Coturnix japonica: one gene and its partner. Each later gene encodes a partner of the first gene's protein in a complex. Links are inferred from orthologs where the notes say so. Each region holds a gene or a part of one and is shown in the gene's direction. Other genes may lie near its edges.

Region 1 (6,098 bases):
CCATTCGCATACTAGCTCTGACAGTTTTCTCTAATTTAGTGTTGCAATTATAGTTATCAAAGTAAATTGAGTACAGCTTTAAGTTTACCGCAAATTACAATGAATCTTCTACCCAGTATCAGATACTTAGTGACTGTGATGGATGGTTGTTAGAATGCCATTTGGCTGCTGACATGTCACTCAAATTATATGAGGTTCAAATGTTTACAATTATGAATAGTATGTACAATTTAATTTTAAATATAGGAGCTGGCACATCAAAAAATAAAGACTGTGTTCTTCGTGGAGGAGTACCATGGTGTTACTAATGATGTATCTAAACAAGGAGGTAAAAAGTGCTTGCTGTGGAGCAGAGCTGTTATAAGCTATGGTATGGGCTGGTGGGTTTTGTTTTATTTTGTTTTTTAATATATAAAATAGTTACTTGTCATGCAGCCTATTGTTTGCATTCTGCATAATGAAGCTTAATACTAAATAGGAGCTGGCAACTCAATTGTTAGTAGCTAATCATTAACAGGTGTTTAGTACTATCTTAGTTTCCTGGTGTCCTTGTCAGCTGCTCAATGCAGCACAAAGTCCATGCAAGGAGCATTTACGTTGTTGACTGCAAAGAATTTGAACACACGTAGGAGTGTGTGTGGTTGCATGAACACAGCTTTATGTCTGTAGCTTGATTCCTTTAGACCTAAAGGACAGTCTGCACCCTTCAAATACAACTATAGTATCATAGTCTCGTGCGGGTTGGAAGGGACCTTAGAGATCATCGAGTCCAACCCCCGGGATTCGAGCCTCTGTGTAGCAGAGCGGCACTTCTACCACTTGCGCCACAGGGGTGATTTGAACCCAGGGCCTCCAGTATTGCAAGGCAGCATTCCTACCACTTGCGCCACCGGGGCACACCATGGTCTCCTATAACCGGGTTTCAGCTTTGTGTTGCTTATACATGAGTCTTTTGTAGCTGGCTAAGCTTTAACGCTTGCTCAAAAGGATACTTCCTTGTGTGACTACCAAAGGACCACATATCTCTCTAATTTATAACCATATTGCAGGGTTAAGTACTTGCTGTTAGGCTCTTTACACCTGTGCTGTAAATGTGGCTTATTATGGGAACATCTTATACAGGGAGAAATGAAATGAAAGTTACTAATGAATTTTCTAACAATCTCTGATGGGACTAATGGGTTCTCCAGGGGGGAAATCGTTGTGGAGGAGCTACTTGTTACAGAGGCGGCCAACCCAGAGGATCAGCAGATGCTACAGCTGGAGAAGGGCTGAGATCTTTTTGTTGCTGTAGCTGGTCTGTGTGAGCCAGGGAACTGTGAAGTATATGGCTGAACTGATGAAGGTTGGGAGCACACTGAACATTACTGAAGGATTATATAGGAAAATGTGTTTTCATTTGTACTTTTCTAAGTTGTTGTGTGAAAGTTGTTGAACGTTTTCATGTTTTTAAATTCCTTCTTAATTATGGTTATGTCCTGAAATATATTCACTTGGAGTGCATTGAGGAACTGGACGGCATCTGTTCATGCAGTGCTCAGTGGTGGGGGAGGAGAAGCCATTACTGCACTGGGACAGGAATGTGGATGCGGTGCTTTGTTGGGAGCGTTTGGAGAACGACAGCAAAAATGAAGTTTCCATGAGGTTTAACTGTCTCTCGGTGCTGGCAGGTGCTTGCTTCCCAGGTTCACATGCTTTTCTGTTCAGACGGCACTCAGCCCTCCTTCAGCAGACTCCATCCCAAGGATCGTGAGGATTCAATTGCGTTTTGTTCGTTTTCTCAGTAAAATGGCTACTCCAGCGTGGCGCTGAGGTCAAATCTGGAGTTAAGATTTCCGAGGAAGCTCTACAGCGCAGCGCCCGGCAGGGGAGCGCGGATAGCGGATAGCGCCCGCCTCGGTCCTCCTGCGCTGCCACCGCCGGGGGCAGTTCCTGCCTTTCCAGCCTCGCCTCTCTATGGTGCGAGAGGAGGAGCGGTCCCCGCTTCCGGTGGGGCCTGGCGCTCTTTTCTGCCGGGTGTGGCGCGTGGTGATGGCTGTGCCGCTGCCTGACTGTGCTGCCGCCCGCGGGACGAGGTGTAGCGCAGTGCGGGGGGGTGCAGGGACTGAGGTGGCTCCGCTTTTCTTCATGCGCGGGGCCGTGACCATGCTCGCGGGGGACGAGTTCATCAGCTCCCCGCCCAAGAAGACCGTGCGGTTCGGCGGCACACTGACAGACATTCTGCTCAAGTACGAACGGGTGAGTGTGTGGCGCGGGACCGGGGCCCACGTGGGCGACGTGTCCTGGTGAGAGCTGGAGCTGAGCTGCCCTGCCCTGTCCGAGGCTCTGGGCTGGTGCCGGGTGGTTCTGCTGTGCGAGCGGAAACTCCTCACAAGCCCGGGCTTGTGTGGAGCGGATGGGACGCCAATGTCTGCAGGGGTTGCTCCGCCTCTCGGACGCGTTCTGCCGCCGCTGCCTCACGTGCTTTGCCCTCGCGTTCTGTGCGTTGTGATTAAACGCTTTTCAGTTGTTGAGATATGTCAGTGAAACGTGGTGTTTTTTGTTGTTGTTGTTTATTTCTTGATGTATGTTTTTTAGTTCCTTTCTAGAAGCGTAACAAGCATCATTTATTTTTCTTCCCCGTGAAGGGTGAAACCACTGACTTTGAGCTGCTAAAGCATCAGCTGTCAGATCCTGACATAAAGGTAAGGTGATGGCATGGGGACACTCAGCTGTCCAAATGTCACTGCACAAGTTGTTTTGGTGCTTAAAAGCAAATCCTTTGCTTTAAATGCCGGATAACGTATAACTGCTTTTTACTTCATAGTAACTGTCAGAAGTAATGAAAAGCAGCTACTGTCTGTTTATGAGCAGATCTTATGTGCAGAATCCTGATAAGTGTTGTCTCATGCTTACTGACTTTGCTTTAGAGTGAGAAACTGTTTTTTGGTGAGATGTTTCTTCCAGACACCATTTTACTAGGTCAGTAGTGCCTGTCTCTACAGATTCCTTAATGTAGGTAAAACCACAACTGCTGACTGTCAGAACCTTTATGTTGTGAATTACTGCCTTTTTCAGCTCTCACTAAGAACTTAGTTAATTGAGCATTAAGATTCTTATGTATCTAGTTGTTACAAGTAGTAATTTCAGGGCTGTTCCTTACAGCTATTGATAGCTACTGTGTTTTTCTATTTCTTTTTTCCTTTTTGTAGTGTTTTAGTTAAACCACACAGTTGTTAGAAGGGTGCTGCAGGAAGCATAATGTTATCTAGATTTTCTTTTCCTTCTAAATAGAGTATTCTGTAAAATACACGTTTTTTTAGCAGATCTTGTGGGGAGAGCAAGCAAAATTAGTGTAAAAATTTCTCCGTATAATTGGTTCTGCTTCCAGATATTTCTTACTTGAATACTTGAATTTTCCTCTGCTTAAACTAAGAGCAAAACCAAAAGGAAAGTAAGATTCTAAGTAAAACAGATACATTGTTTGTGAATGAGGTTTGCATACCTTGCTCAGCTTGTTACATAAACTTCCCATGCAGGCTGTTGGTCGGCCTGTGTGTGTGTATTCTTGCGTTAAAGAATTTTCATTGGTGAGGGTGCAAGTTTAGTTCAAGAAATTTCTTCTGTGCTTGTATGAAAATAATTTTAATTTACAGTCTTAATCTTTGACTTGTGATTCTGTGGGTTTTGCTACTCAAAAAAATTCTATTGTTTTTGGTCATATTTTTATTAAAATAGATTTGTGATTTTTTTATTTTATTTTTTTTAAAATACATATATTATTCCTGTATATTATTCCTGCTTATATTAAGGATGCCCAGATCATTAACTGGCTGCATGAATTTCGAACTTCTGTCACATATCTGACCAAGGACTTCGAGCAACTGGTCAGCGTTTTGCTGGTAAATACTGATTTATTATATGGAAAGGTTAAGAGTTTAGTACTCAAAACATCTGTTTGACACCTTGGTCTTTACTTACTTTCAGAAGCTGCCATGGTTGAGAAGAAGCCGAGAGGTAGTGGAAGAATATCTGGGTTTTCTTGGCAATCTGGTGTCAGCACAAACTGTCCATCTTAGGCCATGCTTGAGCATGATTGTATCCCAGTTTGTTCCTTGTAAGTTTTTTTTTTCCCTCTTAATATTCTTAATTATTTCAAAATAATTATTTTGTATATGAGTTGTGTATGCAGAATTATACATCACAATCTAATTGTATATTTTCTATTGATTACTTTAACTTTAATGACTGGATTGCAGTACAAACCATTTTATGTACCTAGACTTCAGAAGATCTATTCTAATGGGTAACTAAAACTCTAAAGGCTGTTTATTTAAGATGTTTGGGAGGGGGAAGAACTGTGTAATGTTACAACTGAAAAAAAGAGTCTCTAATGGTGATCGTATGAGATGTTCTTAAGAACCTCCTGGTTTTCTGATTGAAACAGTTATTTCAGAAAGTCTTGTGGATAATTTTGATGTTTTAGTCACACTGAAGACTGTTGTCAGTGCACTTCCATTTAGCATTGGAATTGTTGCCTCATAAATTTGCACAGTATTCCAATAATGATCTCATTTTTGGTAGCTCGAATAACCATCAGAGAGGATGATGTGGACATTTCAGATTCTGATGATGATGAAGAAAGTGAGTATGGAAGGAAATATGGCTTACGAATGCTTTTGTAATGCTTTTACTATGTTGGTTTATTTTTGCTAAATTACTTTGCAGGAGTTGATATAAAACTTTAGTAGCTGTACATCCTTAAATTACAAAGTCAGGAATTTTTTTATACTTGAATCAATGGTGTTATGAGTTAATCCTCATTACTTGCAAAATACTGGTATTTACTGGTGCAGTATTTTTAAGATTCAAGCTGAATGTTCAGGAGAGCATTCTTAGTCCTAGATAGTGTCAAAGCCAAAGGATAGGGAGGAGTTGTCTGTTTTCATTTTACTTACTTCAATAAAACTGGTCTGTTTGGGAAATTCTTGAGGCTTTTTGTTGTCTGCTTGTGGTAAACTCAAATACAATTGATATAAATAATGAAAACTATGTGTTTATTGATTAGACAGATTGAATTCTTACAGGATAATTAACTATCTGCATCTTTGTATCTTGAATGCTGTATTGAATTTCAGCTTGGGTTGACATACCTATTCCTCTGGTGTTTGCTTGTGGCACTGTTTGGATTCAAGGGGAAAAAAAAATCATAGAATCACAGAATGGTTTGGGTTGGGAGGGACCTTTAAGATCATCTCATTTCAACCTCCCTGCTGTAGGCAGGGACACCTCCCTCTTGACCAGCTTGTTCAAAGCTCCATCCAGCTTGGCCTTGAATGCTTCCAGGTAGGGGGCACCCACAGTCTCTCTGGGCAACCTGTTCCAGTGTCTCTCCACCCTTACAGTAAAGCATTTCTTCCTAATAATAGCTAGTCCAAATCTTGCTCTCTTCCAGTTTAAAAACATTTCCCAGAATTCAGGTGGCTCATCTCATTATTGTTAAAGAAGCCTAATTATTTGTGTTCTTGTTTTAACTCTTGCTAAATAAGGCATAATTTTTTATTTTTATCTAGTTTCTCACTTGATTTTAATGTATAGTGTGCCCCGGTGGTGCAGTGGTAGGAATGCCACCTTGCAACACTGGGGCTCGGAGTTCTAATCCCCCCTGTGGCACAAGAGGTAGAAGTGCTGCTCTGCTACACAGAGGCTCGAATCCCGGGGGTTGGACTCGATGATCTCTAAGGTCCCTTCCAACCCGCACGAGACTATGATACTATGATATTTTCTAAAATTTTTTTTTTTTTGGGGGGTGTAAATTTTCAGTTTCCGAGTTAGGCATTCAGCGTAAGTAGTATGGCAACAATACCTGGCTTTGGTGGTGGTGGCAAATTAAGAATTTGTTAGCATAACATGAATTGTACTTGGAGTTAATTTTCATAGTTACTTTAGTAGTTGGGCAGTCCAACTTAAAAACAAAAAACAATGCAAAAAAAAAAAACCAAAAAAACCCTGACAACAAAACCCAGTGAATGCCGTCTCCTTGGGGATCTTTAAAATGTTTAACTGACTTGAACTGTTTTAATTGATTCCTGAGTTAGTTTTCTGCAACCAAATGGATA
Region 2 (5,097 bases), on another chromosome or scaffold:
TCCCAACCCAGCTCAGCCAGATTTGGTCAATGGGTCTGGGGGGAGGGAGCAGAATTGCTGAGTTTTGGGGGAAGAGGAGACCCGATGGGACCCAGCACCCCAGAGCTCCCCGAGACTCCAAGCGGGGCACAGAGGGCAGCAGGAAAGGGCACTCAGCCCCCCACCACCACGGGAATGGGGGCCGCAGCCTGCAGCCCAGGGCCACCCGCTGATAAGGGCCATCACGGGGACAGCCCAGCGTGATGACAGCTGCAGGAAGATGGCCCTGTCCCCCCTGCAGCACCGGCCGAGGTGTCACGGAAAAACAGACGTCAGCATCAGCACACAGGAATTTGGGGACAGGGCTGTGGGGCACAAGCCTTTCCCCAGGCCCCGCACTGCAGGGGCAGAGGACCACCACTTATCACATATTTTCCCCCCAAAGCTCATTTTTTCCCCTTCCTTCATCGCCCATCATGTCCTCAGCAGGGAGAGGAAGGGGCTAATCCCTGCCCAGGGCCTTGTCCCTCACTCAGGGTGATGCGGTGCTAATGAGGGGATGATCGGGTGGGCTGTGATGTTGCTCCGTGCCACCTCCATCATCTCCTCCTTACCCACATGGGTAATTGGCAGCCTGGTGACAGACAGACTCATTAACAGCTTAATTTTGGCTCGCTCTCTTCCTGCCCAACCCCAGCCTTAGGGGGGCCGCTCAGTGGGGGGATGTCAGCGCTGCACCCCATAGCACCGCAACATGGGGATGGTGCCACCCCATAGCACCGCAACATGGGGATGGTGCCACCCCATTGCCCGATGCCAGCCAGCTTCTCCCCAGGTCTGTTTGCTCCATAACGGCGGTGCCGCGGCTCCTTTGTGCCCGCAGATAAGAGGGGCCGCGGCCGCCTCTGAAGCACCGCTCCCACCCCCGAGCCGGGCAGGCTTTGGGGAGAGGGCAGGGATTTAGGGTGCAGGATTTGGGGCTGCCCAACCACCCAGGTGCCGCCGTGGCTCTGCCACCTGCTCTGCCTCTGTGTGCAGACCCCATCCCCATCAGCCCTTCACTCCAAAGCCACGGCCCCATCTCCATCACCATCCCCCCCATCAGAGAGCACTGGAGGCTGTGTTGGCCCCCCAATGCTGCCCCACCGGATGGAGGCCTGGCCGCCGTTCAAAGCCGTGCTCATGTTGTATAATTTATCAGTGAAAGATAACAGCCCCACGGCTAAACCTCCCCACCCACACACAGCCCGGCACTGTGAGCAATGGGACTCCCAGCCTGGGGAGAGCCCACATGGAGGGACCCCCGGTGTGTCCTACTGTATGCTGGGATGCTTTGGGGTGCACCAAGGCAGAGCTGTGCCCCCCCCCCCCCCAAAATCCCTTCATATATCCCGGCGCACCGGGGGCTGCAGAGCACCTGGGGACGGTCTGTGGGATCCGTGCAGGTTGGGGGCGGGCTGAGGGCTGGTGCTGTGTGCTCTGAGCGGCACCAGGTGCCGGATGGGCTTGTTTGGCTCCAGATAAGGAGGAGACGGCGGCACCGGGCAGGTGCTATAGTGTGGGGGCTGCCCACCCCAACCTCGGCTCCTCGACCCCGGAGGTGCGGGGCCGCCAACCCGGGTCCCTCCGTGTCCCTCCGTGTCCCTCCGTGTCCCTCTGTACCAGCGCATCCCTCCGCTCACACAGCCCGGCCGCATTGAGCCCTTTGGGGAGGGGGCTGGCGGTAGGAGCTGGGTGTCACCGGGGATGTGACACGGAGGGAAGGTGACGCTGTGGGGTGTGACACGGGTGGGCTGTGGGGTGACGCTGCTGCCCCCCGCCCAGCTCCGAGCTCCGTCCCGCCGTGGATCTGCCCCGACCCACGCGGTTCGATCCGCGGCCGCGCAGCGCCCCCTACCGCCCCCTGCGCTGCAGTGCGCCCCCCCAGCCTGCAGGGGGCGCTGCCGGCGGCGCTAGGACCGCGCGGGCACCTCTGCCCGCCCACCACGAATGAGGTTTCCGGATGTGGAAACACGTCATCACCGTGCGCCGCAGCGGGAGCCGGCGCGGGAGCGAAGGGGCGCCGCCATGGCCGGCATTCTGTTCGAGGACATCTTCGATGTGAAGGACATCGACCCCGAGGGGAAGAAGTTCGACCGTGGTGAGATACGACCCCCCCGCTCCCCGCCCCTTCCTCCCACCCGGGGCTCCGAGGGCCGGGCCGGGTGCGGCGGGCCCTTCCCGTTGACGCCCCGTCCCGGCCCGCTCAGTGTCCCGGCTGCACTGCGAGAGCGAGTCGTTCAAGATGGATCTGATCCTGGACGTCAACATCCAGATCTACCCCGTGGATCTCGGTACGGGACGGGCGGGGAGGGGGGGGGGGGCAGCTCCGGCTGTGCGCTCTGAGCGCTGCTTTGTTATCGCCTCCCAGGGGACAAGTTCCGTCTGGTCATTGCCAGCACCCTGTATGAGGATGGGACGTTGGATGATGGGGAGTACAACCCCACTGATGACCGGCCCTCCAGGTAACGTGGCTCGCAGTGGTGGGAGAGACCCCTCCTACAAGGGGCCTCCTCGCAGAGGATGCTCTGTTAGGGGATGTGGGAAGGATGGTCTGACGCTTCTCTCAGCTCCCCTCATGTCATTGCAGGGCGGACCAGTTTGAGTACGTGATGTATGGCAAGGTGTACAGGATTGAGGGGGATGAGACGTCCACAGAGGCAGCCACACGCCTGTGAGTGGCTGTTGAGAAGGGGACGCGTTGCCTGAGGGTGGTGGGGAGGCAGCGTTATCTTGACTGGGTCTCCTATGGGTTTCCCTGCTCTCACTGCTCCTCTCCTCCTGCCCCAGCTCTGCTTATGTGTCCTATGGGGGGCTGCTCATGCGCCTTCAGGGAGACGCAAACAATCTGCATGGGTTTGAAGTGGACTCCAGAGTTTACCTGCTGATGAAGAAGTTGGCCTTCTAGGAGATGATGCACCTCAGAGGGCTGCCTGCCCCCAGAGACATTCTGTTGGAGAGCAGAAAGGACACCATCACCCCAAATCCTGCCCCAGCACCTTTGCTGCCCAGTCCCTCCAGTGGTGGTGGAGGAGGGGACTTTCCCCCTTTGTCATCCCAGTCTTTTCTGACTGTTTCCCTTCTGTGCAGGGGCTGATGCCTCATTCTCAGTGGAGACCGTGGGTGCTCTGTGGCCCTGCCTGCTGATCTCACCTTCCTGCACTTCAAAAGCAGGCTTAGCCCCAGCTCTAACCAGGGGCCGCTGGACTGGGGCACTCACCTGTCTGTGCTAGGGCTGGGCATCATTTTCTAAGGAGCTGTTCTGAGACAGATGTGGCTTCTTAATTAAACTGCTATGTGTTTTCTAGATGTGGTTGTTGTGGCAAGGTTGGCTTCCCAGAATGCCGGTTGGTAGATGAAGATGGGATGCTCATGGAGGATGTTGTGGTAGCAGACAGCAAAGGTACCACATCAGGGGCACTGGCTTTCAAGCTGCAGCTCCTGGAGGGGCTTGGCCTAGTCTGAGTGATGCTGTGTGACCCCAGAGCTCAGCACAGTGAAATTGGCAGGTGGATACTGGAAGGCAAGGGGCATTATTATCTCACATCCCCAGCTGAGCCCACCTGCCCTGCAGAGATGGCAGCCACCACAGGAGGGAGCTGGACACTGGGAAAATCAGGAGCGTTTGTTCCCCAGCTATTGCCTCCCCCAGAGACTGGTGTATGCTCCTTAGGCCAGTGCTACAGCAGGGGGAACAGGAAGACACAAACAATCCTTTAGAAAAATAGGTCTTTAATTGTAAAGCATTCACAGTCTGATAGGAGCAGGGCATGTGCCTCGTGCTGCACAGGTATGGCTGCTTTTGACCTCTGTGGGCCGTGTGATAGCCAAAGGCTTGTGGAAAAGGAGCCAACCCTTTCCCCGTGGCACCTTCCTGGGCATCCAGAGCACGGCTCCTTCTCCTGTGGGATTGCTCTGACCTTTTATCAGTGTTAAATCCCGTGTACAGCTTCATCAGTCCCTGGACTGGAGGTCCCTGCTTCCCCCCGATCTCAGTCACACGAGTCCTTAGCCAGGTTGTGGAAGAAGAAGCGCAGCTTGCCCTGCACCAGCTGTCGGTAGGTGAGGAAGATCTCAGTGACTTCAGTCTGCTCAATGGAGCGAGGGGAGCAGCCTGGCTCCCAGGGCCCTTCCTGAGGGGCAAGAGTGAGATGGGGGGGTTACAGATGCTATCATGCCCAGCGGACACGTGCCCTGAAGTTGTCTTTACTCACACATGGAGGTCTCACCTCCCAGCCGAATGTCTGTAGGAGCAGGAGGAAGGAGTTGGCGTGTCGATAGAGCTGGCTCAGCTGCCCGGCCCCGCATTCCTGGCTCACCTGGCCCTGAGCCTCTGTCACAGCACCCACCAGCAGCACCAGGTTGCACAGGATCTCACGCCACTTGATCTCATCCTGTGGAGCAGTGTGTGTGCTGACCCCACTGGCACAGGGCTGCAGGCCCATCCTTCCCACGCCCACCCTTGATACGGATGGATCCTCCACCTTATCCCCACACAACGCTCCTGTGCTGCTGTTCCTACAAGCTTATTGTTCAGCTTGCTTGGTGACCATACCCCTCTGCTTACCCAGGGGCTCCCCCTCGAGTCCCACGGGCACCCCAGCACCATCCTCCCAGCCCCTCTCACCGATTTGCTTTTCCACTGTCGCATGTTGAAGTCCACCAAAGGCAGAACCACGGGGCAGCTGAGTGCAGGTAGTGCCTGGCACTCGCTCTGTTGGGGGAGAAGAGCTGCTGCAGTGAGATGCCAGGAGCTGTTCCCAGCTCTGTCTTGCCAGCGCAGCCTGGTTCTGGGTTTTGGGGGGCACTGCTTCCTCACCACTCTCTTCTCCATGTCCTTGGCCTCCCCGATGTACTTCTGGATAAGTCTCTTGTCGCAGACCGGTCCAATCGGCCTGGCATGGCCCTCTTTGACGTGCAGGAGGAAAGATGTGAGGAGCAGTAGTCCTGGGAAAGAAGGGGATACTCGTGGGCACCTGACCACCCTCTTCAGAGAGCCCCAGCTCAGGTAACGCCTACAGCAGCAACTGCTCTGCCTGGTCTGGTGGTGGCTGGGATTGCCTTGTAGTAGGGCATGAG

The links. Proteins that work in one complex are often made in the same cells at the same time.
Region 2: RRN3 (region 1) and POLR2H share a complex: the UniProt entries of both Homo sapiens proteins name them as parts of the pol I pre-initiation complex. The link is inferred for Coturnix japonica from reciprocal best matches to the Homo sapiens genes RRN3 and POLR2H.

The regions. Positions count from the first base shown.
Region 1 is NC_029529.1:43,206-49,303, reverse strand, and holds the start of RRN3 (RNA polymerase I-specific transcription initiation factor RRN3), read left to right. Parts: upstream 1-1,973; 5' UTR 1,974-2,031; coding exon 2,032-2,238; intron 2,239-2,627; coding exon 2,628-2,684; intron 2,685-3,791; coding exon 3,792-3,881; intron 3,882-3,966; coding exon 3,967-4,096; intron 4,097-4,563; coding exon 4,564-4,623; intron 4,624-6,098. UniProt on the Homo sapiens protein: Required for efficient transcription initiation by RNA polymerase I (Pol I). Required for the formation of the competent pre-initiation complex (PIC).
Region 2 is NC_029524.1:13,961,989-13,967,085, reverse strand, and holds POLR2H (DNA-directed RNA polymerases I, II, and III subunit RPABC3), read left to right. Parts: upstream 1-1,982; 5' UTR 1,983-2,046; coding exon 2,047-2,119; intron 2,120-2,228; coding exon 2,229-2,312; intron 2,313-2,389; coding exon 2,390-2,483; intron 2,484-2,608; coding exon 2,609-2,692; intron 2,693-2,808; coding exon 2,809-2,926; 3' UTR 2,927-3,327; downstream 3,328-5,097. Other genes in the region: THPO (thrombopoietin), read right to left, coding at 4,011-4,151, 4,233-4,412, 4,646-5,097. UniProt on the Homo sapiens protein: DNA-dependent RNA polymerase catalyzes the transcription of DNA into RNA using the four ribonucleoside triphosphates as substrates.